Linked DNA regions of Oryzias latipes. The protein of the gene in region 1 purifies or fractionates together with the protein of each later gene. This does not show direct contact. Links are inferred from orthologs where the notes say so. Each region holds a gene or a part of one and is shown in the gene's direction. Other genes may lie near its edges. The genes, in order: otud5, cnp, ruvbl1, supt16h, cdk4, grb2 and ppp2ca.

Region 1 (4,040 bases):
TGTAAAACAGAAATACTTCTGTACACCAGGTGGCGCTGCGCAACTTTACGCTTGTTAAAGTCGCTTTTCACTCAGAAGAAGAGAGCAAGTATTTATGCGCTTGTCAGAATCATACAAAGAAAACATGAATATTTCAAGCACCAGTTGTTCCAACTGGTGTTTGGTTCGGGGATATTTTAGAATGTCCGTCATTATTTCTTTGCGGCAGTGTAGATGCAACTCGGTGTCTATCTTCTTCGCTGGTATGTGTGCTCAGTAAGGCAGTTTTGTGTTTGAGCGCCCCCAAGTTGTGTTTTACTGTAACTTCAGAGGCTCCAGACACGTGTGCAAAAGCGCCGTTCTCATTGGTCGAATAGATTTCGACGCGACGCGTCAAAAAAAAAAAACGAACCCGAGGCGTTTGGTTTTTTTTGACGCTTTGACGCGTGGCGTTTTTTCGCGTCGGTGTGCACACTCTCTCATTGGTGCCCTTTGTTTAGTCACGAGGCGTTAAACGTCGGCGTTAAACGTCGGCGAAAATCGCGCGCGAAATTCGTCCCGGTGTGTACAGGCCTTAACGGTGCGCGTTCATGTTTGGTGTTACAGAGTGAAGAAGAACAGTAATAAAAGGTTTCCGTTAGAATAACACTGACAGATTTTTTACTAAACTGCTCTGGAGTAGAGCTGTGACGGTGTGGGATTTTTGATCACCGCTGTGATAAAAGAGTCGCTGTGCCTGAACTCTTGCGACACCCCCCCCCCCCCACTCTTGCGACCCCCCCCCCCCACACACACACACACACACACACAAAATCCTCCGGCCGTGTCGCACACTCACCTTGAAGTATGAACACAGGACTAGCAGAAAAAATAAATTTTTAGAAAAGATGAATGTGTTTAATCTGTTTATTATAGTTCCAATCATGCACCATATACAGAACTTTAAAAAAAAACGTGCGTAGATGCAGTTATTGTCACACCCCTAATTCAGCGTTTATTTCTGCCAGAAAAGCCCCCAACCATGACTCTGACTTGTTGAGGTGTTAGCTGTCACTTTGTCCTGATTCCCAGAGACTTTTGTGCTCTCTGCAGTAATCTGGTCTTCTGTCTCTGCATTGCATACATGAGTTGGGTGCATTGTGGGCGGTGGAGGAGATTGAAAAACTTTTTCCAAAAGGTTTAGGTGACTGGTCAAAGATGCAGGGCAACATTTGCAGATGGTTGACTTGGTTTAAACCGTTGGAGTTTAGCCCTGGGTGTTCTCTAAAGCAGTGTTCCCCAACCTTTATGTGGGTGCGGACCGGTCAACCCCTGGGGATTTTACCGCAGCCCGGCGGAACGGGGTGGGGGCTGCCGGGTATGTTTAATTTTGGTCCGATTTTAAAAAGAAAAAAAAAACGTCTGATCATCACAAAAAAATAAATCTTTTAATAATAATAATAACAACAGATAACAGCAGTGGAACATCAATCTCTAGTAACGTCCGTCTTTCCGTCGTTCCATCCATCCTTCCGTCCATCCATCCGTGCATCCATACATCCGTCCATACATCCTATCGTCCGTCCGTCCGTCCATCCATCCGTCCGTCCATCCATCCATCCGTCTCCTTCCATTCATTCGGGAGCGGGTTGCGGGGGCAGCTGCGGGGGCAAAAAAGATGTCCAGACTTCCATCTCCCCAGAGGAGCTGGGGGTCCCCCAGACATTCCCAGTAGTCTTTCCAGCGTGTCCTGGGCCTTCCCCGGGGCCTCCGCCCAGAATCTGGATATTTTTCAAAATTAAAGATTTTTGAAATAAAAGATTGTCGAAACTTAAAAGAAAAAAAAAGAACCAGGCATTATTAATTAATTCTTCTGCGCTGGGTGCCAATTGATCAACAGACCAGTACCTGTCCACAGCCCGGTGGTTGGAGACCACTGCTCTAAAGGACAGATCCTCTAATCCAGGGTTGTCAGAATCCAGGCCTCGGGCCTGCCATGGAAGCTAGTTTTTGGCTAAAGACACCTGATCCAGGGATCCAGCAGAGAAGGCAGGATTTCTGGAAAACCAGCAGGAGGTCGGCCCTTGAGGCCTGGAGTGAGACACCTCTGCTCTAACCCAAACCCTCTCTGTGTCTCAGCTGATCAGGTGTACGGAGATCAGGACATGCATGAGGTGGTGCGCAAACACTGCATGGACTATCTGGTGAGTGGAAACATTGGTCATCTCAAATGTTTTTCTGCTAGTTCACAGTTAATGAAGAGTCTCTGGCTTTCAGATGAAGAATGCCGACTACTTCTCTAACTACGTGACAGAAGACTTCACCACATACATCAACAGGAAGAGGAAAAACAACTGCCACGGCAATCACATTGAAATGCAGGCCATGGCCGAGATGTACAACAGACCAGTGGAGGTGTACCAGTACAGCACAGGTAAGTGGTGCTGTCCGCCTGAAACCAGCCTTCAGCCGTCGGCCTCACGGCTGTCCTCTTCTTCCATCAGAGCCAATCAACACGTTCCACGGCATCCATCAAAACAACGACGAGCCAATCAGAGTCAGCTACCACCGTAACATCCACTACAACTCCGTGGTGAACCCCAACAAGGCAACCATCGGGGTCGGACTGGGGCTGCCCGCCTTCAAGCCGGGGGTACCAGCACCCATCTCCTTTTCACCAGCTCCACCAGCCTAAACATTGTCATGTCTAAGCGCTCAACACAGCCATCTGCATCAGCTGCTTCACATTCGTGTGAACAAAGCTTGAGCCACTCTCATTACCTCCTGTGTTTCCTGACCTCTCCCTCCCAGTATGCAGACCAGTCCCTGATGAAGTCGGCCATCAAGACGTCTGAGGAGTCGTGGATCGAGCAGCAGATGTTGGAGGACAAGAAGAGGGCAACCGACTGGGAGGCGACCAACGAAGCCATCGAGGAGCAGGTGGCCAGGGAGTCATACCTGCAGTGGCTGCAGGACCAGCAGAAGCAGGCCAGACAGGTACAGTGGCAGGACCACACCTCCCTGACAGCACTGTGAGGTTCAGGACCCCCCCAGCTTCAGCGGAGAGCCTAAATTTGGTGCCTGACTGTTGGCATTTGTCGTTTGTGTTGTGCTCTCGCTCATCTTCTGTATAGTCAGTGATTGGACCTCAACCAAAGTCTGATAAGATCCTGGTTCCTGAAGACCAGCAATGAGTTTATCTGGCTCACTGTGGACTAAAACACAAGTGACAGTTTTTATGAAACCAACGTCAGCACCAGCAGCAAACGAATGTGTCAGAACCAAGTGAGGTTCTGTTTGATCTTTGCTCTTGTTTGTTGGTTAGATCTGACTTCACAGTGACCAAATGTCCAGGCAGATTCTGAACACCCACTCACAGCGGACGCGGGTCAAATCTCTTCTCCGTTTCAGCCCCGTAAGGCCAGCGCCACCTGCAGTTCAGCCACGGCAGCGGCTTCCAGCGGGCTGGATGATTGGAGCGCCCGGTCGCCACGGCAACACGACTCTGACCCCTCCCACTCTGACCTCACATCTGCCACGTCAGCCAACAACAAGCCCCCCTCCCCCACTGGAGCTGCTCTTATCCTCAGCAAGCCCCCTTCGCCCTGCGCCCCAGGTAAGGCGCACACAGGATCTCCCAGAACCACCTGTCCTTGTTTTTCACATATAAATGCACATTAAAAAAAAGAAAATCCTCTTCTCACCCTCTGTGGGGGCGCGGGACTTCTTCCAGTGGCAGGAATCTATAGATGAAATGCACACTTAACTATACAGTTAGAAATGTGCTGAGAAAACAAAAACAGTTTTTCTAGACTACTGCCCACCGACTGTAAATGAGACCTGAACCGCACCAGTGTGACGTCACCAACACAAAATGGTTTACTTCAAGCTCCACCCACTCAAAGTCAATTCAGTCATCAGTTATGATGATACGAAGGCCACCACATTGGAGCCAGATGACATCAGTAAGCAGCGATCGCTCCGAGTTCAGTCCGAGTCAGCATTGCTTTGACAACCACTCACTCCAATCAGGAGTGAGCTTGTTGGAAGTCCACACCCCTACCACTTGAAAGCGGGCTACA
Region 2 (4,613 bases), on another chromosome or scaffold:
TGACTTGCTGATGCTGCAGTTATTATTCTGGTTGATAGAAGAAGTAACATCTAAACATTTGCATGAGCTGTTGGGAAGCTGCTTCACCAAAATTGGATAAGTAAATTATCGTTCTATAAATAGAGTTCTAAAATCATTAGTGATTAAATGTATTTATGCATATAGGGCCTTTCTTTAGAGAACGATTTTTAGTCTCTATTTTTCAAAAGAATTTAACAGTCAGTTGGCTCTAATGGATTTCAAGTGAGGCAACATTTGGCTGCTTTACCTATTTAAATCATTATTGAAATAATGCATCCACAATCAAAGATACAGTAGTAGGTCGCCAATGCTTTGAATTCTTATTCTTTTTGGCTCCGGTTAAGTGTTGACATGCAATCGATAAATAATACATCACAGATCTTTATTGCACCCAAATAACAGTTTTTCTTGTATAGATCTTAGATGATTGGGTTAGCCTGAAACAGGCATGTCCAAAGTCTGGCCCATGGGCTAAATGCAGCTCATGTTCAAAATTGTACCAGCTACAAGCTGCTTGAAATGGATTTGCTAAATTACATTTTACACTAGTTTACCTGTGACAACAGCCTGTGGCTACTTGTCCTTCAGAGCCTTAATGGCCAGATCCAAAAAAACAAATGTATTGGTTTCTGTGACCAAAACCACAGAGGTTTTACTTCTGAAGAAGATACAGATTTGTGTCGTTTTCCTGTTTCCACGACTTCAATGTATAAGTTTATATTAATATGTAGCATTTCATATGAACCACATTTATGGTGGATTTTTTTTTTTAGACAGACTTTTTCATTACTTCAGTTCTGGTCTTCAAATATGAAATTTATTGTAAATTAGATAAACGATGTATTTGAAAATATTTGTGTTATACAAAGTATTCCCTTTCAAAATGGTTTCATCAAATGGTTCATTTGTATTTTTTCTTTTTTTTTTTTTATCAAATGGGTTTAACAATGCAGGCTGACTGGCTGGCCCTCACATATTTGGACACCCCTGCAGTAAAATCTGATGTTTCAACAGAAGGAGATGAAATCTTTTTCTGTGTTTTCTCGTGTCATTGTGAACATTTGTATGAAGAACACCCATAACTCCTTTACCAATTTGAAGAAATTTTTTGATTTAAAAAAACCCAGGATTAACAGACAATGAAATGCATTAAAAAACATAAACTTTCTGTAAACGTGTAAAATTCTAAGGAAATACACATTTCTGTTAATTTCTTTGACCTGAACAAAAGCCACAACAAGTTTGTCTCAAAAATTAGATGAAATGTTTTATTAATTTATTAGTATTTTTATTAGAAATGACTATTTACAATATTTTATATTCCTGTGCCGCCCACTTCCGGTTGGCAGGGGCGTGCCTGGCCCTGCCCACTTGCGCGTTCCCGGGAGTTTTCCTTTTTTTTTCTTATTTGAATCCCCCCTCCCTCGTCAGAGTAACGTGTCTGCGGCCAGCGCCGCGTTGTCATTGTATTCAGAGGGACAATAACGTGGTCAGCACAGCAGCACCTCCAGCTTCACTGCTACTCAACTGGTAAGCGGCGTTTCAGAAAACCTTTCACATGCTAGGCTACTACAGCACGTGCGCACGTCCAGTTGATGCTAGCTCGTTACGGTAACAGTTTAACTAATTTCTCCCACGCTAACTAAAGTTAACCAGACTATTCGCGTGTTTTTTTTGTGATGTTGCAGAGAGGACTGAGCGTCCGCCTGGCGGGGAGAAATCGTTTTTGTCTCGCGTGCTAAATGTGCACGCCACTCCCCACCGCACCAAACCAACATAAATTAGCCAAAATATTCGCTTTAAAACAAATGTTTAAAATATTATTTTATTATTAACTAATATTTTTAAGTTAAATTTGATTTCAATTTGTTTAGGTTGTACTAATTTGTGGAACCTGGAAAATAGTGCTTCAGTTTCGTTATCTGTCTTCTTTTACGCCTGACGGATTCGCCTTTTTAGCTCTTCCTCTTTCTCTAAGAAACAGTTTCATTTGGCTCTTTTTTAATATGCAACTTCTAATCTTTCTAATTTGTCGAAGGAAGCTTTCGCAAGTCACTATATTCAATAAACACTCGTGCATTTCCTTAATTAGCCTTTGTCTGGAGGCGAGGTTTGGTGTCCAAACTCCTACGAATGCTTCTATAAAGCTGCTAAATTAAATGCTTAAAAAAATGCTTCTTTTTTTACCACGCCCCTTTTGTTTGCATAGACCTAGAAAAATCAATTCTGTAGCCTCACGCGCTCAGTTCAAGGGTCAAAAACCACATTGTGCAAGTGGTTTTGGCCCATTTTTAACTCCTTTTCTTGCACAACTTCCTGTTTTAAATCTTTTTTAGCTTAAAAAATGATGAGCACAAATTCTGGAAATGGAGATTTAAATATGATCTTTTCTTTTTTTTTAGTTTGTGCAGTTTACTGTCAGTAAATGCTGGGTTTTGTGGCTGTGTTTAAGGTACACGGTGGTGAGCGACGCTAAGCTTCAAATACAAGCATGGATACTGAGAAGAGTGAGGTTTTAGACATGCCGGAGGCTCCGAATCAAGAGGAGGTGGCGGTTATGGAAAATCGAGAGGAAAAAGTGGAGCCTGAGAAACCAGCAGCTGCTGTCGAAGCTCCCGAGCAGTCGCCAGTAAATGATCAAGCTGAAGAAGAAGTGGCAGGACAGATTGCAGAAGAAAACCAGGAAAATACGGAAATTCTGGTTGATGAAGACGCCAAAAAGTCAGAAGGTGTGGAGTTGGTGGCCCCATCTGAACCAGATAACTCGACCGAAAAGGCTTCTGACCCAGTTGCTGCTGCCGAACAACCGTCTGTGCCAGAGAACAATCCAGAGCTCCCGACTTTACAAACTCATCTGGCAGAAGGTGCTCCTGAACCGGAGCCAGAGAAATCAGCAGAACCAGCTCCGGTAACTGAAGTGCAAGAGCAAGCGGTGCTTTCAAAAGCTGTGGAACAGCAGCCAGCTGCAGAACCATCCACCAAACAGGAGACCAAGGAGGAACCAGCAGTGGGGGAAGAGCTTTCCTCAGAAAAGCCAGCACAAGCTGCTGCGTCAGAGGAGGGATCAGCTGAGGGTGGAAAAGGTGACTCGGCTCAGTCTGGAAAGGAAATCCATGCTCAGTCTGCTTCTGTAATGGCAGCTGAGCCAGCACAAGCTGAAGGTGTTCAATCAGAACCAAAAGAGGCTCAGAAGGAAGATGTGGCTCCAGCTTCTGGCTCACTGTCTTTTGCCCTTTTGAATCAGGAGCAGACCAAAGATGCCTTGAAAGTCTCTCGTACCCTTGTGGTCCTCAGAGGCCTTCCAGGAAGCGGCAAGAGCTTTCTGGCCCGTGCCATAGCAGATTCCTATAAAGACCTCTGCTCTGTGATCTCTGCCGACGCCCACGGCATAAAGCCAGAAAATCCAGAGCAGTCCACAGAGGGGTACAAAGCTCTGGATGAAGCTGTGGTCACCTGCTGCAAGGAAGGCGGAGCCTCATCTGTGCTAATAGTGGTGGATGACACCAACCACATCCACGACCGCGTGGCCCGCTTGTGGGAGATGGCTGAGGAGCACAACCTGGTTTTGATCTTCCTGGAGCCACAAACTGAGTGGAGACTAGATGTCGCACAGTTGGCAAAGAAGACGAAGCGCCAACTGGACGAGGCCAAACTGGAGGCAATGAAAGTCCAGCACGAGGAATTGTCCCTTCCTCTTTACTTTGGCTGGTTTCTCCTGCCAGCGGTGCAGGAGAAGATCCGGTGCACATCCATGGACTTCCTGAAAACTCTGGACACGCTGGAAGCCTTCAAGAAACACCTGATTGACTGTGAGTTCCTCTAAGGTTCCTCTATTAAGTCATGCCTTCATTTGAACTCACTTGCATCTCATCTTTTATTTAAAGTCACAGGAAAAGCTGAGAAGGAGGTGGATCTGGAGCAGTACTACAAAGCCAATGGGACTTTGCACTGCACCACAAAGTTCTGCAACTATGGAAAAGTAGAGGGTTCCAAAGAGTATGCACAAAATCCAGTAAGAACTGATTTTATTTTATTTTGTTGCTCTGTGCCCTTTCAGGTTTTGTTGTTGTTGGTTTTGTTGTATTAATCTTTTCAATCCTTTCTCCAGGCGGTTAGAAGTGCCTATGGGTCGGTGTTTGAGCTGTCGCTGACTGCTCTCTTTGTCACCCCTCGCACCGCGGGGGCCAGAGTGAGCCTCACCGAGGAGCAGCTTCTCCTGTGGCCAGCTGATGCTGAGAAGGAGGTGGAGTCGGCCGTCGCCGCAGCCGCCTCCCTGCCCCAGGGAAGTCGCGCCCACATCACTCTGGGCTGCGCAGAGGGCACAGAGCCCGTTCAGACGGGGGTAGATCTGCTCCAAATCCTTGCGCTGCAGAAAGAGGGCCAGCAGGGGGAGCCGCTTGAGATGGAGCTGGGCTCGTTGATCTATTATGGTGAAGGAAGGTGGATGCTCACACTCAGAGAGCCCATTGCCGTTCCCGCCTGTTTTTCCAGCTTTTATGCATACAAGGAGCAAGAGCCACCCAAAAAGGAACCAGAGAAGAAGAAGCAAAAGAAGTGTTCCATACTGTAACCCAAACAGTCTTGGAAATGTG
Region 3 (3,478 bases), on another chromosome or scaffold:
ACGATGGTTGTCCGTGTGACAACCTGGTCTTTTATTCAACATTTTTGGGAAACCGACGTCCGACTTATCAAGATAGAACCGAGTGTACACGAACGATGTCACGTGACGTCTGAACGATCCGAGTACGCCCGAAGAAATCGCAAAATGACAACATTGCAGCTGCATGTCTGGTTTAAAAGATCAGGGATATTAGTCTTTACTGCTAGTGCAGCACACAATGTAAACATGGTATCATTTACATGTGTTTATTTGAAATAGATTTTATATCATATCATAACTGTTCATCACATATAAATATTACTTTATATTTGGAATGCTGTACTAGTCCCAGTCCATACAAGTGTTCTAAATTTGAAAAATACTCATTAAGTTACAGTGTTGGTCAATTTAATCAATTTTCTGATATATTATAGGGTAAGATAAAGTATTTTCATCTGACCGTAACAGTAATTGATTTACATGGGCGGCCGTGGTGCAGCGGTAGGGCGGTCGACCCATGATCGAAAGATTGCAGGTTCGATTCCCGCCTTGCACACCCATGTGTCAAAGTGTCCTTGGGCAAGACAACTGAACCCCACCTTGCCTCTGGTGGGAGGTTGGTGCCAGTGTTCGGCAGCAGCACACTGCCATCAGTGTGTGAATGTGTGTGGGTGAATGGGACTGTGACTGTAAAGCGTTTAAGGCCTTCGAAAGAAGGCAGAAAGCGCTTTATAAGTATACGCCGTTTTACCATTTACATGGCAATACTTTGTGTAACCAGATGCTTCAATAGTTAGTTAAATGTTTGTTTTTAATATTTAAAGATTTTTTTAAATGTCCATCATAAGAGGCAGTTGATATTAGACGTATAGAAGAAATAAAGATGTAAGAACTGACATCTGAGTAGGTTACATTGCTGTTGAATATTGGTATCGAAGGACAACCAAATATTAATATTGGGGCGGACAACCAAATATTACTTGCCAGTTTTTTTCCTTATTTCTAACGCTGCTTTGTATGTTGTTAGTGGTATGAACTCTTAGACATTTAAAAATCCCACTCCAATGAAAATAGTGTTTTTGATGTTTTCAACACGATCTTGCTGCATTCGTCTCATGATGGGAGGACATGTGTGAAGACAATTGAGATAAAAATTGCATTTCTGAGTATTTCTTTATTTGAATCCTTGGGAATCAAAAGCAGATGAAAAATACTGTTTGAAAAAGCTTGTAGCAGTGATGTCGGAGCTACAATGAGTGAGCCACAAGCTTCCTGCTCCGCTCCATTCCGATGCAGACACATAAATCTATGAACGTCTTTGTTTTCTATGGCAGCTGAAAACCGCCTACCCTACTTTTTTCCTTTTTTTTTATAGTTCTCTTTGTCAATAAGAAGTTGATCTCACGAGACAACAGGTTTTTTTGTGATTATAAAACCCCAAGTCCAGAGTGACACGCAGTCATTCCATCGCCGTGTAGACGGCCTGACGCCCTCATCTCAACAATCGTAGGAAAACTGAACTGCAGCCGCCTGCAGGGATATTTGTGCCGCCACATCGCCAACAAAAGTCACAGTTTTCAGGTCAAAACGTCCTAAATTGCAGACAAAATGTTCCGTTTTAAAAGCAAAACTTTCAAATTTGCAAATCAAAATGTGAAATGTTTACTTTTAGAATATCTTTCTTTGCTTTCAAAATTAATTTTTGTGTTTGCAACACAAAGGTTGTCTCTCATCTCGCTTTCTCCCTGGCTTTGACGTTTTGGTCATAGCTTTTAGTTTAGTGTGACATGTGCCACCAAAAACAGCCAATCACAGACAAGAGGGTTCATGCTGATTGGTCCAGATTCCATCCAATCAAGTGTCTTAGCCTGGCATTGTGCTTGGAGGCAGACACGGACTTTTGACTTTGCACAGGTTCTGTTCAACCGGGATTCTGCAGTCTTCAAACATTCTGGCCTGTTTCTAGTTATTTAAAATAAATGTGAATTACATTTACCCATTACTTGCTACAGCTGTTAATGTAATCCAAAAATAGTATGAAAGAGTAAGATAAAAGGGAAAAAAAGGTATTTCTCTCTGTCTAATTGTAAACTGCAAGATCACAGCTGAAGGCAGATTGCTGACACTTTTCTTTGGGGGGGGGGGGTTGTTATGAGAGGGTGGAGGAGTTGGTCTTTGCATTCTGATGTCTGGCACAGAGGAAGCGGGGATTAGGTAAAGGTGGTCTCAGCTTGTTTGCCCCACCTCTGGTACAGGATCCACAGGAAGAAGTGGCTGTCAACTGCAGCTTGTCATCATCTTATCAATAACTGACTGAGTCCCAGAGTGGAGCGCAGCTCTCTGTCCCCACCTGTGTGCTCATTCCCAGGTCCACAGGCTGTGCCAGTGTGGTCATGTTACACACGGGCATGTCATAGACCCGCGCTGGCTCTTTCCCTTTAATAAAATACGTAGTTCGATAGTCTGAAAGATGTGGCAGCTTAGCTGAGACAGGAACATAAAGAGGCCTTTGAGCTGAGGCTGCAGCGTGTGTGCCTGACTGAAATGCCTCCCACACGCAGGACTGCGCATCAAAGAAACCAAGGAGGTGTATGAAGGGGAGGTGACAGAGCTGACCCCCTGCGAGACCGAGAATCCCATGGGAGGCTACGGCAAAACCATCAGCCACGTCATCATCGGCCTGAAGACGGCCAAAGGCACGAAGCAGCTCAAGGTCAGACGGGAAGATTCAGCCTTCACCACTTACTGTTCTTTCTCATTCACGTACAAAGAAAACTGTTATTCACACAAGTTATGGCTGAATGCATGACCTAAAAGAATGTGTGTCTTCTCAGCTGGATCCCAGCATCTATGAGAGTCTGCAGAAGGAGCGTGTGGAAGTGGGAGACGTCATCTACATTGAAGCAAACAGTGGAGCAGTGAAGGTAGGTGATGCTACAGGTTTCAAATCTATCTACTCTTTCTATCCCTACTGAATAGTTTTTCTTTTGTTAGTTCTAAATGAGGATTGCATGTTTATTGTTTTCAAAGTTTGTGTTTCTTTGATGTAAAACTGCTCATAAAAATCATTAAAAAGCTGCAGTTAACTCAGTTGTTCTGAGTGACAGACTTTTAGTTCAGGTTTGTGTTTGGTGAGGCTTAGATTTACAAACACCTGACCTGGGGGTGTCGGGGTTTATCTGAACAATATTTGGATTCATACCTAGGGGTGTGACAATACCCGTATTACCGCTGTGATGACCTCACAGCGGTAAGGTGTGCTCCTGCCTTCTACACACACACAGTGCGCTGACACACACACACACACACATAGTCATCCTACAACACCTATATAGTAAGTTCATGAGTTAGGTAGGTACTGTTACTTGTTTATAAAGAATACTGCGTTGCAATTGTACTCATTTGCGACGCAGCCGTCAGTGGTTTGTCATTTTATTTTAACTGTATTTCAAACTAATTAGAACCTGATCGAAGTGACTGTATTAACCCAAACTAGATG
Region 4 (4,167 bases), on another chromosome or scaffold:
GAGGATGCAGGGCTCTCTGGAGGCCCACACCAACGGTTGGTTGTCTTCACCAATGAGCCTGAAGGGAAACTCTTCCGAAACCACCCTCAGAGGAGGAATCCTAACAAACAGCCATCTTTATTTTTCTGCTCAGGGTTCAGGTTCACATCCGTACGCGGAGACAAGGTGGACATCCTTTACAACAACATCAAACATGCCATCTTCCAGCCGTGCGACGGCGAGATGATCATAGTGCTGCACTTCCACCTGAAGGTACGGCTGACAAAGGCGTCCAAGTTTTCCCTTTAGCTAAGAAGAAAAAGGCAGTGCAGTTTAAATTAGGTTAATATGATAAAGTATTAGGGCCGCCATAAAAATAAATACCTTTTACAATAATATAGTTATTATTTATGAGGGGATAAAAGTCAGAATTTAGCAAGAATAAAGTTGAGAATTCACAAGATTAAAATCTTGTGAATCATCACACATGGTAGGTAGCACAGGTTTTTTTGGTTTTGAAAACGACATAATCTTAATTAAAATACAACTGAGAACACTTTGAAAATGGATCAAAAGATGATTGATTAGAAAGTTCAGATGTTTCCATCATGTGACCTCTGAAGCGTCTCTGATTTGTTGTCCTTCAGCTCATTTGCTCAACCTGACCATTCTGCCTTACAGAACGCCATCATGTTTGGGAAACGGCGACACACAGACGTGCAGTTCTACACGGAGGTGGGCGAGATCACCACGGACCTGGGCAAACACCAGCACATGCACGACCGCGACGACCTGTACGCCGAGCAGATGGAGCGCGAGATGAGGCACAAGCTGAAATCTGCCTTCAAGAACTTCATCGAGAAGGTGGAGACGCTGACAAAGGAGGAGCTGGAGTTCGAAGTCCCCTTCAGAGACCTGGGGTGAGTTCAGAAGAGGTCATGGAGGGGGGGGTTGTAAAGGAGGAACTCTGAATGGATTCGCTGACTATTAAATGCTTTCAGGTTCCAGGGTGCCCCCTACAGGAGCACCTGCTTGTTGCAGCCCACCTCCAGCTCTCTGGTTAACGTCACTGAATGGGTGCGTAAAGCTTTTCACGAGAGGCGTTTTTATTCTGAAATGTACCAGGAAGTATCTGTAAAATGACACCCCCCCCCCCCCCCAATGTTTTCTCAGCCTCCGTTCGTGGTGACTCTGGATGAAGTGGAGCTCGTCCACTTTGAGCGTGTGCAGTTCCACTTGAAGAACTTTGACGTTGTCATCGTCTACAAGGACTACAACAAAAAGGTCACCATGATCAACGCCGTGCCTGTCAACTCACTGGATCCAATCAAGGAGTGGCTCAAGTAAGGCCAATGGATAAAAACCAATCGGGTGATGAGAGGCAGAGCTTTGACGTTGTTTCTTCTGATTTCAGCTCGTGTGACATCAAATACACTGAAGGAGTTCAGTCTCTGAACTGGACCAAGATCATGAAGACCATCGTTGACGATCCCGAGGGCTTCTTTGCGCAGGGCGGCTGGTCGTTCCTGGACCCTGACAGTGAGGTGAGCGTTCTTTTGGGAAAACCATCGTCCTTTTCCAGTGTCGACCTGTTAACCATCGTGTTGTTTCTCAGGGAAGTGATGCGCAGGAAGACTCGGAGTCTGAAATTGAGGATGAAACGTTCAACCCATCAGCTGATGAAGAAGAGGAAGAGGAGGAGGACAGTGATGAGGACTACAGCTCAGAAACGGAAGACTCTGGTAGGACGTCTGAACGCCCCTGCCTGCGCTGAGCCTGTGGGCGGAGTCTGATTGATTGTGTGCTTTCAGATTACAGTGCGTCGCTGGGCAGCGAGGAGGAGAGCGGCAAAGACTGGGACGAGCTGGAGGAGGAAGCTCGCAAAGGTTTGTGTGTGCAGGCAAATGGGCTCTGGTTTTGGAACCAAATAAGTCCATGTTTGCTTTCCAATTTGCAAATGTTTGGAGAAGTTTGAAGCTGCAGCCGAGGAGGAGGATGACGATGACTTGTGCTGCATTTAAACCAAACGCCATTCATGCGGCGAATATTCATCCTCCAGCTGTTTTTGATGAATTCACTGCTGGACACTTGCCCACAAAATGTGTTCATAAAATAAAGCTTGAAATTTATAGCGCTGTTTATAATAAGATTAAAATAAATTTTCGATCCCTGACGAAACATCCGATTCTAAAAACTAGGTGATTGGCCCGGTTTCCAATTACATTATTGGATTGGGACATCCCTACTATTGTCTTGATCCAGAGAAGAATATTATCAAAAAGTTCAGAAGGGGAACGATCAGCTTCTCTATGTTGGTTCTGGATTCCTCCCACTGATTACATCATCACAGATCACACATCACAAAGCTGAGTTCCTGATTGGTGTACACGACACCAAACCTTTGCTGAAGTTCAGATATTTATAATGGACCTTTCGCTCTTCTGCCCAAAATCAGCTGCTCCCAGACCGTCACGCCGCGCCTGACCCTCAAATTGCATGACAGGACCTGTGACCATGTCTGTATATTAGCGGACGCCCCTGCCGCGCAATGGCGTTTGATGTGAACCCATCTTTATTAAAGCCGTTCTCTCTCTGCTGCCCTCTAGCTGACAGAGAGAGTCAATACGAGGACGAAGACCCGTCCAACAAGAAGAGGAAGGGTCGGACAGCACCAGCCCCCCCACCCACCAAGAAGAAGCGGCGAAACTAAACATCTCACTCACACACACACACACACACACGCACATCCATGCGTACTGCCAAACCCCAGGATTCCTCCGTGTCCCCAAACCCCCCCCCCCATATGTCAAATGTGTACATAGATGCAGAAACCTGTGGGCGTGGCTTGCCGGTGCATCATGGTTGTAAAAAGAGAACCGGCAGCAGGACAGTTGGTCTTCATCGCTCTTCTTTGTTTCATCACCAGGCGTCTTGGTTGTGTGTGTTTGTTAAATTTGGTTTTACTGTTTATGTTCAGTTGAAAAATCTTTTTCTTAATGAGTGATAATAAAAGATGGAATATTCTCTGCCAATTGTTTTATATGGAAACATCCTGATTCCTCGTCTTCATCTTTTTGTTAAAGTTGAAGCTGAAGTTGAGCACTTGCCTTTTTTAAATGGGGGGGGGGGGGGGGGTGTGCAGATGCACGTTTCCTGTTCTTTTTTATGGGATTTGTAAACTCCTGCATTCAGACTCACACCACCTGTCACACTTTCATGTTTTCTCTCATGGGGGGGTAGGTATGATGTACTTTTGACTCTGAAAATCCTGTTTTTGTAATAAAATCTAAAAGAACTGGCATCTTTTCTCTGGACTGTTTTTCTCTTTCAGGTTCAGTTTGAAGGGATTGCAGATTTTTTTTCTTTTTTCCAACCGTTCGCTGTAAATGGTTATGATAACCGGGTTAGGGTTTTGTTTTAAAGTCAAAACATTGAATAATTACAAATGTCAAAGTTTTTTTTTTCCATCTGTGAGCCGAAGAATCATCGCGCTGTGGCCAGAAACCCATCTACCATTTTCAGAACCCACCTTTCAAGCTCAGAGCTTCAGCAGCCAAGCCAGCACACGCTGAACGGGTCATCACCAAATGCAAGCCCACACTCATTCATACCCAGGGGCAATTTTGGGACACCAATTGACCTATGAAGCACGTTGGCGGTCTGGTGGAGGGAACCCACAGGTGCACGAGGAGAACCCAGCCGGGATTCAAACCAGCGCCGCCAACCACCATAGGAGAAGCCAAACATTCACTACACAGGAGGAAGGTTCAAAATGGGGTGGGGGGGGGGGGGTAAGACTTGAAGACCCAAATCAGAAGTTTGAAGGATATCAATCTGGAAGATGGATCTGAACTAGATTATAGTCAAAACAAAACTCTGTCTGATGTTTATTTAGCTTTTTCTTTTTTTAGCATTTTCAGACCTGTAGAGATTTAATCCTCTGGATTATTTTGTTCAACACAGACCCACAAACAGAAGAACCTGAGCTCTCTTCCTAAAAGTTTATCTTCATGCAAATGTCACTGGATGACTGATTATCCAAACCAGTAAGCTTGATTGCTGCATCATCCTGGTCCCGCACACATAAAGGTCAGTGTATCTATGTGGATCATGGATCGAGCTCTGTGGAAGCTTCTCTTTTTTGGTTTGTTCTTCATCTGATTAAATACTCAAAAAACTGACGCTCTA
Region 5 (4,572 bases), on another chromosome or scaffold:
AACTTTGTAATTAAATGTGTGGTTGATTACAGTGTACTTGTGATCCTTTTTCACATTAGTTATCTAAACGTACATCTTCTTTAGTCTTCTCTTAAAATAATCCAGACTGATTGCCTGAACTGGAAGAGTTTGATCATCTTGGGGCAGACAAAGACCTGTGTGTCTGAAATATTGAGAGGAAAAAGTCCCATAAATGTAGATAAAAAACCCAGTTGTTGTATTTTTCCTGCCTCCAGTGAAGAGCATCCCCTCTTTGGTTCTGCAGCTGTGTAGCACACTGTAAATGGACACACATGGGACATTTATGCCCTTGAGGGTCACTATGATTCCTCCAGAGACAGGGGACAGATCAAACTTGATGGCACTTCTTTTACCAGATCTTACAAAAGTGGCTTAAAGACAGACAACACTGGGTAATATAATAACTACTCCTTTCTGTATATTTTTATTTTTATGACATTATTTTTTTTAATGACATTTTTACTAATTTGAAAAATCAAAATTGAGGAAACTCTTATTTGTGAGTTTAAATATTTTACGATGTAAGTTAGTGAACTTTTAATAAGTTCTGGCTTGAGGTCTAATCTCTTATCTTTTAAACATGCAAAACTGGCATTTTATAGTATTGAATTTACCACATAATGTTGCATTAAATTTATTTTGAACAGAGTTAAATGTTTTATACCTTGAGGGTGTATTTTATTTGTTTGTTTGTTTTTAAAATAGGACAAAATTTTGACCAATTTTGTCTCATTTTGCAATGAATAAATTTAAAGTAAGCTTTTATGGTAACATTAATGAACAACTAAAAACTATGCTGGTATCAACTCTCAAGAAAATATTTAAACTGATGTGCATATATTTTTAAAAATCATGTTTTTACAACACATTTAGCTTTTTATTTAACCCGTTATTTACAAATAAATCATTAATGTTAACATACTAATCTTTACAATACATTCATGAAAAAGAAGGCAGCATACCGTAGGATCAAAATAATTAGAAAACCACATTGTGGACGTCATTAAAATGTTGACATTCACTTAATTTGAAAATCCAAATCACTGAATTAAATAATTTTTTAGAGATTGAGATTTTTAATTTCAACTATTTGTATAAAAGGTTTTTTTTTAACAATGTAAATATTTTCTTTCAACATATTTAATTACATTCATTTTCTAATTCTTTTTTAACATTGATCTATTCAGTTCTCTAAACAAAACCACAGTTTTAACTGTGGTGTAAACAACCACAATGATAGTTTGCAGTTGTGTAAGTCAATGGAGTGAAAAAAAATAAAACACTTCCAGTGAAGATACTCTAGTTTATTGACTTAATTTCTGGTTGAAGAATAGAAAAGTTAGGTATCTTATAAAAAACCCAATCAACCATGATTTGATTATTGAATTACCTAATTACATTGCCTTAAAATGAAATATATGTATTAAAAACCTCTATAATAAGATATAGGCTTTCCAAGTTTATAACATTTTTGTCCATTTCTTTTTTATTTAGTGTAAACAGTAAATCACTGTTTTCTCCCTCTTATGTGAAGCAAGTGGGGTCGTTTTCCCCCCTTTTTTAAATAAAACGGCTTAACAAAAAATAGGTCGCACGAATTTGTGGCTTTTGATAACAAAAAGCTTTTTTTGTTTTTTTCTTCAAATGGTTTGTGGTAAAAACTTAAGCTCCGCCCCCTGAGAAGCTAAAGCAACAGGAAGATAACCGAAAACGAGCGCAGGCTGGAAGGAAAGCGGCGGAGGCCGAAATCTTTTCCACATCAAAGTCGCTGTTCGGCCGTAAACTTCAGCCTGGACTCGACCTGCCACCTCTGACCCGTTCTGCTCCAGATAAACGTGGCAGATCAACGAGCATGCTCGAACTAAAGTGAGCTCTCTTGCCCTTAAAGAAAAAAAACGGCCGAGGTAAGCTTTTTTTATGTGTGACCTGTCGAATACACAAACCTGCGGAGGAGTATGGTTTTGCCGCGTTACGCTTTTATGTTGAACAGATGTGAAAAGTTAAAAGGCGGTGATGTGTCTCCTCCGCCGCTGACTATAGTCCCCCGCTTTTTCTTCCGCCACGTTCAGACCAATGATCAGACACGTGTGTGTGCGTGTGTGAGCTAGAAAAGTGCATGTGGACTGTTTCTGCTGCATTTTCTTGCTCTAAATTAACAAAGGACTGCCACAGAGGAGCACCACGTGTCTGCCCCGGCCTACTGATTTCACATGAACATCCGCCCACTGCTTTGGAGTCACCGGCCTGCTTCTCGCTTGATAAGGCGGGGAATGAATGAGACATGGAGGGCGAACGTCCGGCTTTGCCTATCTGATAATCGATACATTTTTCTGTGATCACGAGCTGCTGTCATGCGCAAACTGGTTCAAGAAGATCCCCTCAAACAACGGCTGTTGGGAGTTTCACCTAGTTTATACTCTGGACTCACTGTGTCTCTCCCAAAACACAGAAATGATTGTTTTAGTTAAAAATTTATAGATTTGTGAATTTTATTTCTTTTCTATTTATTGTATGTTGTTTGATTTATAAAAATAAGTTTTTACATAATTCCATGTACTCTAATCTGGAATAGTATATATATTCATTTCCAAAAAAATTACCAAAAAGCATTTTCCCATCATTTAGGATAAACCAAGTTAAAGAAAAATGCTCCACTGTGTTGGTGCTTTATGCAAAAGTCTCTCAAAAATGTGCTTTTAATGTGTATAAATTGATCTTTTTGCGGCTCTTTTGTCCTCTGGTTTCTATGCTGTAAACAAACAGCAGAGGCAGAAAAACTTGCTGCAGGAAAACGAAACACTAAACGCACAGGAGAAGCTCAGGAAAGTTTTGACACAAAGTGACACAAATGTCACATGTCACTCTGGGGAAGGGATCAATCCAGCCAGGCATCATTGTCAAACCATTCCTTATGTGCAGAGAGAGATTCCTGATTTAAAAACACTAAAGAGCCACTCCAATCATCATTTGATCTATTTTAAAAGCGTTCCCAGTGATCTTTTAATGTTGTGTAATTTTCTAGGACATAGTTTCTGCAGAGCAGATGGAGTTACGGTAATCAAAATTTTTCCTCTGAGTTGTGTTGAGCAAGCCTGCCCTGACTTCCCATCATCCCTTTGTCTGCATTCTGTCTTGCTAGCTTACAGTCCCTCACAACCGCAAGCAGCACAAATAAATGGTGATCATTATTGGAGTTACCCGGCCATATAGCTTTGAGCCAGATACTAGCTCAGACGAGGAAAACGAAGATGGATCTAGTCATCTGCGAGTGGATGTATCTGCATGGACAGAAACAGGGAGCTTGAGGCCCGCCGATTGTATTTTGTATACAAGTAAAAACTTTTTCTAACAGCAGTTTTTGGTCTGCTCCTGATTCACTATGATTTGAAAAAAGAAGAAGTAGTAAAGCAGTTTTAATTTCAATTTTCCTAATATATGTCCTCCAACATGAGAAGAAAATGCTACCAAAACATGTCAAACAACCAGAAACGCTGTTTTCTTTTGGAGTGGTTCTTTTAAAGACTTTTTCCCTCAGTAAATCCCTCAAAAGTGCTGCTCTGGAGTTTGAGGTGTCTGTATAAATGTGAGATGACCCCAGTCTCGTCTCCCAGTCTGAGCATGGCGCAGTGCACCGGTCTGCAGTACGAGCCGGTGGCAGAGATCGGTGGTGGCGCATACGGGACCGTCTACAAGGCTCGCGACATCGAGAGTGGCAAGTTCGTCGCCCTGAAGAACGTGCGCGTCCAGACTGACCAAAATGGCCTCCCGGTGTCCACGGTCAGAGAGGTGGCGCTGTTGAAGCGCCTAGAGCAGTTTGACCACCCCAATGTGGTCAGGTAGGAGAGTTATCACAGGTTTTGTCTCAAATGTTGCCCCCCCTCCACCTCATCAGTGCTTGCTACTTTCATCCAGGCTTATGGATGTGTGTGCCACCAAGAGATCCGACCAGGAAACCAAAGTCACTCTGGTGTTTGAGCATGTGGACCAAGACCTGAAAACGTATCTAGAGAGAGCTCCAGCTCCAGGGTTGTCACCAGAGCGCGTGAAAGTGAGTCCCTGAAGAAAAGAATAAAAACTGATGGCAGCTACTGTTTGGAACTGATTCTCTTTCTTTTTTTGTGTGAAATATTTCTCTGTCTTCAGGACTTGATGAAGCAGTTGCTGTCTGGCCTCTCCTTCCTCCACTCAAACCGCGTGATGCACAGAGACCTGAAACCCGAGAACATTCTGGTGACCAGCCAGGGCCAGGTCAAACTAGCAGACTTTGGCTTAGCGAGGATATACAGCTGCCACATGGCCCTCACTCCTGTGGTAAGATCTGCTGTGTGCTCACGTCTTGATCATCAGCAGCGGTTTGGTTAATGTTGTTTTTTTGAACAATCGCTTTGGAGATGATTATTTCATTTGTTTTTGCTGTCTGTTTTGGCTTCTTTTCTTGGAATAAATCATTTTCAGTTACGACACAACCCTGACCGTTTAACACCAGAATGGTGTCGCTGGCAACACCTAAATAACTTGCGTTTTTTACATACCATAACTATTTGATAACTC
Region 6 (3,481 bases), on another chromosome or scaffold:
GTGTCAAGCTACAGACACACCAAGCATGTTATGTGTGTTCAGGAACATGCCAAATGCAGGTTCTTAATTGCCCGTGGTGTTCCCACTGGACAAGCAGGGAGGGGATTCTTCTTTTTCTTTTTTGCTATCACATGTTCAGGTGTAAAATGTCGGAGCACTGCAAACCTCACAAATCTTGCTCCAGGCTTTTTTCTTTCACAGCTCTAGTCCAAAAGAATTCTGGCGGGGCACATACCGCAGTCATTCATCTTTCCTTCACGATCAATTTTCAAATGGTTGGCACATCCATGAATTAAAAGGGCCGCTAGCCACCGTTCATCGCTACCAAATCAGAGTCCCTGATTGGTCAATAATCAACCAGGTTTAACTTTCAACACGCATTCAGTGGCAGCGCGTTTTCTACATGGAGCCTGAAAAATGGTCGTAAAAGCTTTCATAGCTACGCGTAAATGTGTGAGTTTTGATTGCGGAAGGCCCAAACCCATATTTAGGAGCGTTTCCATAGACTTTTCATCTGAAGTGGATGCTTGAACCTGTGTCGCTTAAGGCGGTGTGAACGTAGCATCAGAGGTGTCTTCCATACGGTTTCTTCTGCACGTTTGCATCAACTTAGTGATCCCAAACCAAAATGGTTATTGATTTAAAGTCCCATGTGTAAACTAAGTTCTTGTTGTGTTTGCCGTCCTCCAGGTGGTTCTTCGGGAAGATTCCTCGCGCCAAAGCGGAGGAGATGCTGAACAAGCAGAGGCTCGATGGGGCCTTCCTCATCAGAGAGAGCGAGAGCGCACCGGGGGACTTCTCCCTGTCTGTCAAGTGAGCGGCCGCACTCTGACGCCACAATCCAGGAAAAAATTACTCGCATTAGTTTTTCCATTCATATTTTTCCCCTTCAACCTGGGCGTGACGTGCTTCCTCATTTCTGAACAAATTTATGTTCTCGGAGTTTGAGTCACTTGTGGTTTTTCCCTTATTTCCAGTTTTTAAAAATGTTTTTAGAAAACAAATTTCTGATAAAACTACAATTTTTCTGCTTTTGTTTTTTCATTTAGTAATAAAAATGTTTTTAGGAGCATTTTTTTTCTTTGCTTCCCTCCACTCTCTTTCATTTAGCTGCTTCTCCACCACACTGTTCAGAGTCTGAGTTTCTGTTCTCTGCAGGTTTGGAAATGACGTGCAGCACTTCAAGGTTCTCCGCGATGGAGCTGGAAAGTATTTCCTATGGGTGGTGAAGTTTAACTCTCTCAATGAGTTGGTCGATTACCACCGCACCACCTCAGTCTCCCGCAATCAGCAAATCTTTCTGCGAGACATAGAGCAGGTTCCCCAGGTAAGACATCCCACTAAACTGTTCTTTAAAAATGGGGCTTAAGGATTGGTTTCTGTGTTGATGGAGCACACTGACTGTCCATGTGCACCTTCTGTGCAAATACATGAAGACACAAATGTCCCAGCATATGGGTTTGCAGCCCGACCACATGTGAGCTCAGCGGAAGACCTGCCGTGGAGCGGATCTTTGGCGTGGAACCGTGGGTGTAAAAAAACCACTCTGAGGTCACCACATGCCGAGGTCACATGACTGCACCTAATGCTTCTGATTCGCATCAGAGCTTTCTTTCTTTTAGCTGATCCATTTTTATGATGCATCGTAAAATCTAAATGTCACAGGTTTTCTTTTTAAAGACTTTATGGACGTAAACTAGAGCAGAACCTTTTTTTTGTTGTTGTTGTGGTCGTTTTAACTTTGAAAAGTATTTCTTATTGCAGCTACGCTGTGCCATCGGCCACATTTCAGTGTCACAAACGGTTAAACTGACATTTGGAGTACAGGATTACACAGAAGCGCTTTAAAGATGAATGTGAGATCATTTCATTCCTGCATGTTCATATTAGTCACAAAGGTGTTTCATGGTTTTGTGGAGAGCAGCACTGAAAATACTAATAACAATCAAATCCTAAACGCATTCAAGACTATGTACCATCCAGACTTCATCGTGGTATGATCCAATACATGGAAAGCTGTTAAAAATGCGTACTTTTATTTATATAAAAACTTACATTTTGACAAATTACTGTATCTTTTTGGACTATGAGTCGCTCCAGACTTGACAGTCACAGGAGCAAGAAAGAAGAAAAAGATCACAAATGCGTCACACTTCACGCCAAGCCTGGTGTTGGACTGAGCGCCACTTCTTCTGTCACGCTGTCAGTAGGAAATGCTGATGCGCACATCTACAGCGCCCTCTCGTGGTTGTTGCTATTGATTTTTTTTTTTTATACATATCAGTCGCACCTCAGGACAAGTTGCAAACTCAGCCAAACATATATTTATGTGGTATGTGGAGTTTAATTCTGCAGAAACAAAAGAATATAGTAGTAAAAACCTCTCCTGCTCTGCTGCACTCTGTTCTTTTTAGTCACAGTTGTTAAAAATAGACATTCATGTGAATGTTCTGTGATGGATTCAAATCAATTCAGATGTTGTAAAAGCAGCTCTTCAATGCTTGTGCGCCTTCTTTCTTTTGCTAAAAGCTTTTTCTCGTGATTGGATTGAGATGGCTGCACTAAACAACACGTTTGGTCCAGTTCTGAGTGAATGCATCGACATTAATGCCGCCGTTTAACGGGAAACATTCAGGCGTGGAGCTGTGGAGGCTCCGGCGTCCGACCACGGCCTCTCAGTCCAATGCATTGGAGATCAACTGTAAATGCAACGGAGAAGACTGCGATGCTGTGACGAAGAATCAGACAAGACGTCTAAAGCAGCGGTCCCCCAAACCCAGGACCGGTATCAGGGTTAGGGTAGCAGACAGAACAAAAATACATACTCCAACTCCGATTATTTCTGTTTTGTCTATTTTCTGATACTAAAGGAAGTTTTATTTTGGAAAACTACCGAATTTTGTTCACCACATCCGTCTGTCTGGACGCGTCACATGACTTTAGGCAGCTGTTCAACGCTTAAAAGCTAATAAAACCAACAAATAAATGTATTTGGAAAGTTTCTTTGGGGAGAAAAGAGTCTGCAGGGAAACCAAAGAAGACTCTTCCAATTCATCGAAAAATTGAGACCTTATTTACAGACAAAACCAGAAGTCTTCCTCCAAATACAGATTCACAGTCGTTCCCGCGTACCAGAAGCCGCTCTGCATAAATCTGATAAAGATGCAGACACGGTGGATTCACGTTTATTACGTTTAGAAAATACTTATTTTTACGTTAAAGGACATTTACGAATTTTCCTACAGCATGGATGAATTACGCTGGCATGTGTTAAGAAACTCGGCACAGAAAATGTTCCTCTGTGTTACAAAAAAAACACGATCAATCAGGATTTATGTAGAAATGAAATATGAAAAATCTTTTGGTCCTGAAAGATGATCAGAGCCTGGGTTGAATTCTCTGTGTTAATGACGTTTTTATTCAATCATTCTACAAATCAGCAACTTGGTTTCATTGAACCGTCATCACCTGTAAAAGTAAA
Region 7 (4,528 bases), on another chromosome or scaffold:
TAATCAGTAATGTGAGCTTCAGCTTCCCAGCTGAAGGCAAAGAAGTAAGTCTCGGATCAATCTGAATTAAAAAAAAACATGAAGTAAAACTATATATTATAAATATATAAAACTCCATTAAAACTATATAATATATGATATTTGCAGGAGTTCTTTCAAAATAAAAACCTGAACTCAAGACTTATAAAAACAAAAATGAATAAACATTAAAAAAAGAAAAGAACCAAACAAAACATAGAATATCAATTCTGATATAGCCCCTCTAATAGTCATATTGTAGTAAAAAAATGTAAAGAAAAGGTCTATGTTAGTCAGTTAAGCAGGTTTTTGACAAGTCATTTATTATTTTACTATACAAGAGTAATAAAATCGTTAAAAAAACAAAACAACCTCAAACCATAACTCGTTTGGACTTTATTTTAATTTTTTAAATAGGGTTTTCATGTTTTAAGCTAGAACCGGATTACATCATTTTTAGAACAGGTACGTTTGCGTTCTGTTTGCTTCTGCCTTGCTCATGAACCCGTGACATCATGGCCAAACTACAAAGTTCATGTTTTTTGTGGAGGATGATGTATTCTCTGTAATGCAGGTTGAGAAATCATTCTTTAAAAAAAACAGCCAATGAGGCAGCAGAGGAAGCGCTGTCGTCATCCGTCCGGGTCTCTGTTTGGATCGAACTCCATTTTCTGCTGAGTCAAATGTGAGACAAGCAACCAAACAAGAACGGAAGTGCGTTTTTCAAAGTAAAAGCACAATAACCACAATTTTTTTTTTTTTTTTTTTTTTTTTTTTTTTTTTTTTTTAGCGGGCTGCACGGTGGCGCAGTGGTTAGCGCTCTTGCCTCACAGCAAGAAGGCCCCCGGTTCAAGTCCTGGCTGGGGGACTTGGAACTTGAACATCAATGGGGGCCTTTCTGTGTGGAGTTTGCATGTTCTCCCTGTGTATGCGTGGGTTCTCTCCAGGATCTCCGGCTTCCTCCCACCGTCCAAACACATGCTACATAGGTTGATTGGCAACTCTAAATTGTCCATAGGTGTGAGTGTGAGAGTAAATGGATGTTTGATTGAGGATATTCCACCCTGCGACAGACTGGCGACCAGTTCAGGGTTTCCCTTGCCTACGCCCAAGTGGCCGGGATAGGCTCCAGCAACCCCGTGACCCCGAAAGGGAATAAACGGTTAAGAAGATGAATGAATGAATGAATGAATGAATGAATGAATGAATGAATGAATGAATGAATGAATGAATGAATGAATGAATGAACGAATGAATGTTTTTTTTAGCTGCCAAACATCACTGCAGATGATCAGACCCTCATTTTTTGTGTCAGCTATAACAATTTAATCCAGCAAAAACACAAATAAAAACCTAAAATGTAGCTGGCTCAACATACACAACATCCACCTTTTTCACAAGTTAACATTAGGGATGAATAGCGGAACAATTTCATATAAGGGTTGCACTCAGGTACAATTTAGTACTTATTGTTTAATATTTATTGTGGTACTTGCACATTTTCTACAGAATGACCATTTTCCAACTTGAAAAACTTGTGCAATGGACTCAGATGCTGTATGTCAGATTTGAAAAAATTAAAAGAATTAAAACAAAAGAAATGATTAAGAATGTGTCTGTTCTCCGTCTATGGATGTTCTTTACTAAAATTACTTAGATATTTCACACAATGTAAAATTTGTTTTAAGCAACTGTGTGGATTTTGAAGAAAAAAAAATGTCGATATTTAAAAAGAATAGTAGTATATCTACTGCTAATTTGGAAATAAATTGTTATCAGGGCTGATTTTCCCCAAAGATGCTTAATTGATTTAGTTTATTTACAGTTTCAGCTTAATTACTGCAATGATTTTACACTATTAAATTATTAGTTTTATGTAACTATTTTTATTCAAATTGCTATTTTGTTTAGTTATGCAAAAACCTTTTCCCAAAAGAAAATAAAGTTAACAAAGGCAAATCGTTCATTAAGAAAATTAAGTTACATTTGCAAAAACCAACAGGAAAGTAATAAACAAGAAGGTACTTCAGATGAAATTTAGTAATACATTTGATAAATCGATATTACATTTACTTTGTTCAGAGCAAATTAATTTAATAAGCATTTTAAAAATGAAATGAAACAAGAAACAGTGTTTGTTTTAATTTGACCGTGATTTTTCTAAATAAATATCTTGAAAAAAAATTTGATAGAGGAAAAAGAATAGGTGTTGAGGAAACAAAAACAGATGAACCACTAATTAGTTGAAATATTATATACAGGGTAAGTCTGGTGCGTGGTGCTTTTATCTTGAAGATCTTCGCCGGAAATGCAGCGTATGACCACTGACGTCTTCACATGAACCATTTTTCAGGGTGGATCGCCAAACAGAGCTGTCTCCCGCCCCTCTTCTGTCAATTCATAGTGATCTGGCAGCTGGAGGTCCATGCCTCTGTCGGTCGGAGTGAAACCATCTCCTGCGGTCAACGTTTTGTAAGCTTCAGGGAAGTCGGAGTCTCATTGGTGAACCGCCGCGGCGCCTGTCGGTGAAGAAAAAACAGCAGAAATGGAAGAAAAGGCGTTCACGAAAGAACTCGATCAGTGGATCGAGCAGCTCAACGAATGCAAACAGCTAACCGAAGGACAGGTGAAAACGTTGTGTGAAAAGGTAAGACGAGTTTATTTTAAACCCCAAATTCTGTTAACGTCTGGTCTCGCGCCTCCTCCTCCTCCTTGTGGCTTTTTTCAGAGATTCTTAAGATGGCGTCTATAGTAGAAGGAGTGTAGATTTCACCGCGCGATATTAGACCCTCACTGCCAAACCCCACTCTGTGATGGTTTTGAGCGGTCTGCTCATTCGCGGGGGGAGGAAATAACGCTCGGAGGGCAGCTCGTGGGATTTACCGGGGTGCAGACCCGTTGGAAGCGGCGCTCCCCTCCCTGCTCTCCTCGCGGGCGCCACGGTGACTGCAGCATCTCCCTAAGGCAGCTGTTGCAGCAAAAAGCCCCAGTCTGCTTTACTTACCCCCCACCCCCCATCCCGGGGGCTAAAATAAGCCCCCCGATTTTGGGACTGCTCTGAAAGTAACCCCACTCTGTAGCAGTAAAACCATCATTTTAATCAGGCATCTTTCTGGTCAACTCAGGCTGTTTGGACGTAAATGGTTTAGTCAGCTTCTTTTAGTTGTTAACCTTTATCTTCACTGAATATAAAGTTTAGAGCACATTTATATTGTATCCCGTTTTAAGCTCTTATTCATTTAGGGTTCTTTAGCTTCCAGTCTGGCTTTTGGGTGCAGAAATAAACATTGAAAGCGCTTCACTGCAGTGGATGCAGTTTAAAGGTCCGCTTCCGCCCATCTGTTGATCTTTTGTAAAATCGTTCCCAGGGTTCTTTTTACTAATAATTATGGCATTAGGTGAGGCGTACATAGTTTGTGCAGTGTGGCATTAGAAAATTGCCTCAGTTGTGACTGTTGGCACAGAGCAACCCCGCCCCCACTTCCTATCAAACAACTGTTTACATGCTCTCCTGCTTGCTAACAGCCACTCACACCCCTAACTTAACATTACAAGTGCAACAAAAATGGTTGAGCAGTATTTGAGCAACCCAGCTGTACAGTTTTGGGGTGAATGCCAGCCCAGACGAGGAAAACAAAGACGTTCGTGGATCTAGTTGTCTACAAGTGGATGCATCAGAACGGAGCAGAGCAGGGAGGTTGTGTGCCGATGATCATTTCCTCATTCACAATCATTTGACAAAAGAAAAACCCAGAAATGCAATTCTGAGCAACATTTTCTTTATATATGTCCTCCATCATCACAGAACAAGAACATGTTAAAGCACCAAAGAACAGGATCTTCATCATAGTGGGTCTTTAATTAACATAATGAATGAAGAGTATTTTCAGAGTTCTAATGGTTTTCTCCATTTAAGTAGTGATAATGGTTAGGAGGCAACCAGTTAATTATTGTTCATCTTTAGAAAGGATGCATGCATGCTTTCCTTTTGTCCCTGGGTTGTTTGATGGGTCATACATCCTGCAAAGTGGAGTGCTAGTGCTAGCAAACCATTTCCAGGCTGAGAAGCTGCTGACTTTGCTAATAAAGTAGCAGCCTATCCACCCCTAACCCTGATGTTGACATTTGCTGGATGTGAAGTCTACATATGCTTGTGCTTTATTTATTAGCTGGTCAACAGATTCTGCACACTATAGCAGTCTGAGCTGCGGCTTAACCCCGATCTCTGTGCCGATCTTTAGCTCTGAATGTCTCTAGGTTTAGAGGAAAAATTCGTCCTGAGAGTAGAGTGAAAGTGCTATTTCTTTGAACCCAATGAGATTTCTTTTAAACTTATCTTTTCTCAAATATTCTACTGGTTGAAGTCAAAGCCAGATGGAGTTTTTTCTTTCAGCTCAGGTCTGTTGAACGTTAGCATCTGGAGCTTCATGGCATCTGGGCTTGACTGAAAGCAGCTTGTTCCAGTTTGGTTTGATGTTTTCCAGCTGTAAACCTTTTTCTGTTTGAGCTT

What was found.
Region 2: the proteins of otud5 (region 1) and cnp purify together in Homo sapiens (affinity purification with mass spectrometry; 3 studies listed by BioGRID, with this or other methods). This does not show direct contact. The link is inferred for Oryzias latipes from reciprocal best matches to the Homo sapiens genes OTUD5 and CNP.
Region 3: the proteins of otud5 (region 1) and ruvbl1 purify together in Homo sapiens (affinity purification with mass spectrometry, with the first as the bait; 3 studies listed by BioGRID). This does not show direct contact. The link is inferred for Oryzias latipes from reciprocal best matches to the Homo sapiens genes OTUD5 and RUVBL1.
Region 4: the proteins of otud5 (region 1) and supt16h purify together in Homo sapiens (affinity purification with mass spectrometry; 3 studies listed by BioGRID, with this or other methods). This does not show direct contact. The link is inferred for Oryzias latipes from reciprocal best matches to the Homo sapiens genes OTUD5 and SUPT16H.
Region 5: the proteins of otud5 (region 1) and cdk4 purify together in Homo sapiens (affinity purification with mass spectrometry, with the first as the bait; 4 studies listed by BioGRID). This does not show direct contact. The link is inferred for Oryzias latipes from reciprocal best matches to the Homo sapiens genes OTUD5 and CDK4.
Region 6: the proteins of otud5 (region 1) and grb2 purify together in Homo sapiens (affinity purification with mass spectrometry; 3 studies listed by BioGRID and IntAct, with this or other methods). This does not show direct contact. The link is inferred for Oryzias latipes from reciprocal best matches to the Homo sapiens genes OTUD5 and GRB2.
Region 7: the proteins of otud5 (region 1) and ppp2ca purify together in Homo sapiens (affinity purification with mass spectrometry, with the first as the bait; 3 studies listed by BioGRID). This does not show direct contact. The link is inferred for Oryzias latipes from reciprocal best matches to the Homo sapiens genes OTUD5 and PPP2CA.

What each region holds. Positions count from the first base shown.
Region 1 is NC_019865.2:31,811,444-31,815,483, forward strand, and holds part of otud5 (OTU domain-containing protein 5), read left to right. Parts: intron 1-2,097; coding exon 2,098-2,162; intron 2,163-2,235; coding exon 2,236-2,392; intron 2,393-2,462; coding exon 2,463-2,611; intron 2,612-2,769; coding exon 2,770-2,955; intron 2,956-3,369; coding exon 3,370-3,574; intron 3,575-4,040. UniProt on the Homo sapiens protein: Deubiquitinating enzyme that functions as a negative regulator of the innate immune system. Has peptidase activity towards 'Lys-48'- and 'Lys-63'-linked polyubiquitin chains. Can also cleave 'Lys-11'-linked ubiquitin chains (in vitro).
Region 2 is NC_019866.2:5,979,660-5,984,272, reverse strand, and holds the start of cnp (2',3'-cyclic-nucleotide 3'-phosphodiesterase), read left to right. Parts: upstream 1-1,412; 5' UTR 1,413-1,551; intron 1,552-2,473; exon of another isoform or gene 2,474-2,479; 5' UTR 2,480-2,512; coding exon 2,513-3,830; intron 3,831-3,905; coding exon 3,906-4,033; intron 4,034-4,129; coding exon 4,130-4,591; 3' UTR 4,592-4,613. UniProt on the Homo sapiens protein: Catalyzes the formation of 2'-nucleotide products from 2',3'-cyclic substrates. May participate in RNA metabolism in the myelinating cell, CNP is the third most abundant protein in central nervous system myelin.
Region 3 is NC_019863.2:3,779,411-3,782,888, forward strand, and holds part of ruvbl1 (ruvB-like 1), read left to right. Parts: intron 1-2,540; coding exon 2,541-2,692; intron 2,693-2,813; coding exon 2,814-2,903; intron 2,904-3,478. UniProt on the Homo sapiens protein: Possesses single-stranded DNA-stimulated ATPase and ATP-dependent DNA helicase (3' to 5') activity; hexamerization is thought to be critical for ATP hydrolysis and adjacent subunits in the ring-like structure contribute to the ATPase activity.
Region 4 is NC_019876.2:21,315,397-21,319,563, reverse strand, and holds the end of supt16h (FACT complex subunit SPT16), read left to right. Parts: coding exon 1-35; intron 36-133; coding exon 134-252; intron 253-660; coding exon 661-899; intron 900-980; coding exon 981-1,056; intron 1,057-1,152; coding exon 1,153-1,322; intron 1,323-1,393; coding exon 1,394-1,523; intron 1,524-1,594; coding exon 1,595-1,721; intron 1,722-1,790; coding exon 1,791-1,865; intron 1,866-2,585; coding exon 2,586-2,689; 3' UTR 2,690-3,278; downstream 3,279-4,167. Other genes in the region: C-type mannose receptor 2-like, read left to right, coding at 4,167-4,167. UniProt on the Homo sapiens protein: Component of the FACT complex, a general chromatin factor that acts to reorganize nucleosomes. The FACT complex is involved in multiple processes that require DNA as a template such as mRNA elongation, DNA replication and DNA repair.
Region 5 is NC_019863.2:27,221,773-27,226,344, forward strand, and holds the start of cdk4 (cyclin-dependent kinase 4), read left to right. Parts: upstream 1-1,700; 5' UTR 1,701-1,925; intron 1,926-3,632; 5' UTR 3,633-3,639; coding exon 3,640-3,857; intron 3,858-3,933; coding exon 3,934-4,069; intron 4,070-4,164; coding exon 4,165-4,332; intron 4,333-4,572.
Region 6 is NC_019866.2:20,735,186-20,738,666, reverse strand, and holds part of grb2 (growth factor receptor-bound protein 2), read left to right. Parts: intron 1-690; coding exon 691-813; intron 814-1,158; coding exon 1,159-1,327; intron 1,328-3,481. UniProt on the Homo sapiens protein: Non-enzymatic adapter protein that plays a pivotal role in precisely regulated signaling cascades from cell surface receptors to cellular responses, including signaling transduction and gene expression.
Region 7 is NC_019872.2:4,039,672-4,044,199, forward strand, and holds the start of ppp2ca (serine/threonine-protein phosphatase 2A catalytic subunit alpha isoform), read left to right. Parts: upstream 1-1,531; 5' UTR 1,532-2,563; coding exon 2,564-2,665; intron 2,666-4,528. UniProt on the Homo sapiens protein: Catalytic subunit of protein phosphatase 2A (PP2A), a serine/threonine phosphatase involved in the regulation of a wide variety of enzymes, signal transduction pathways, and cellular events.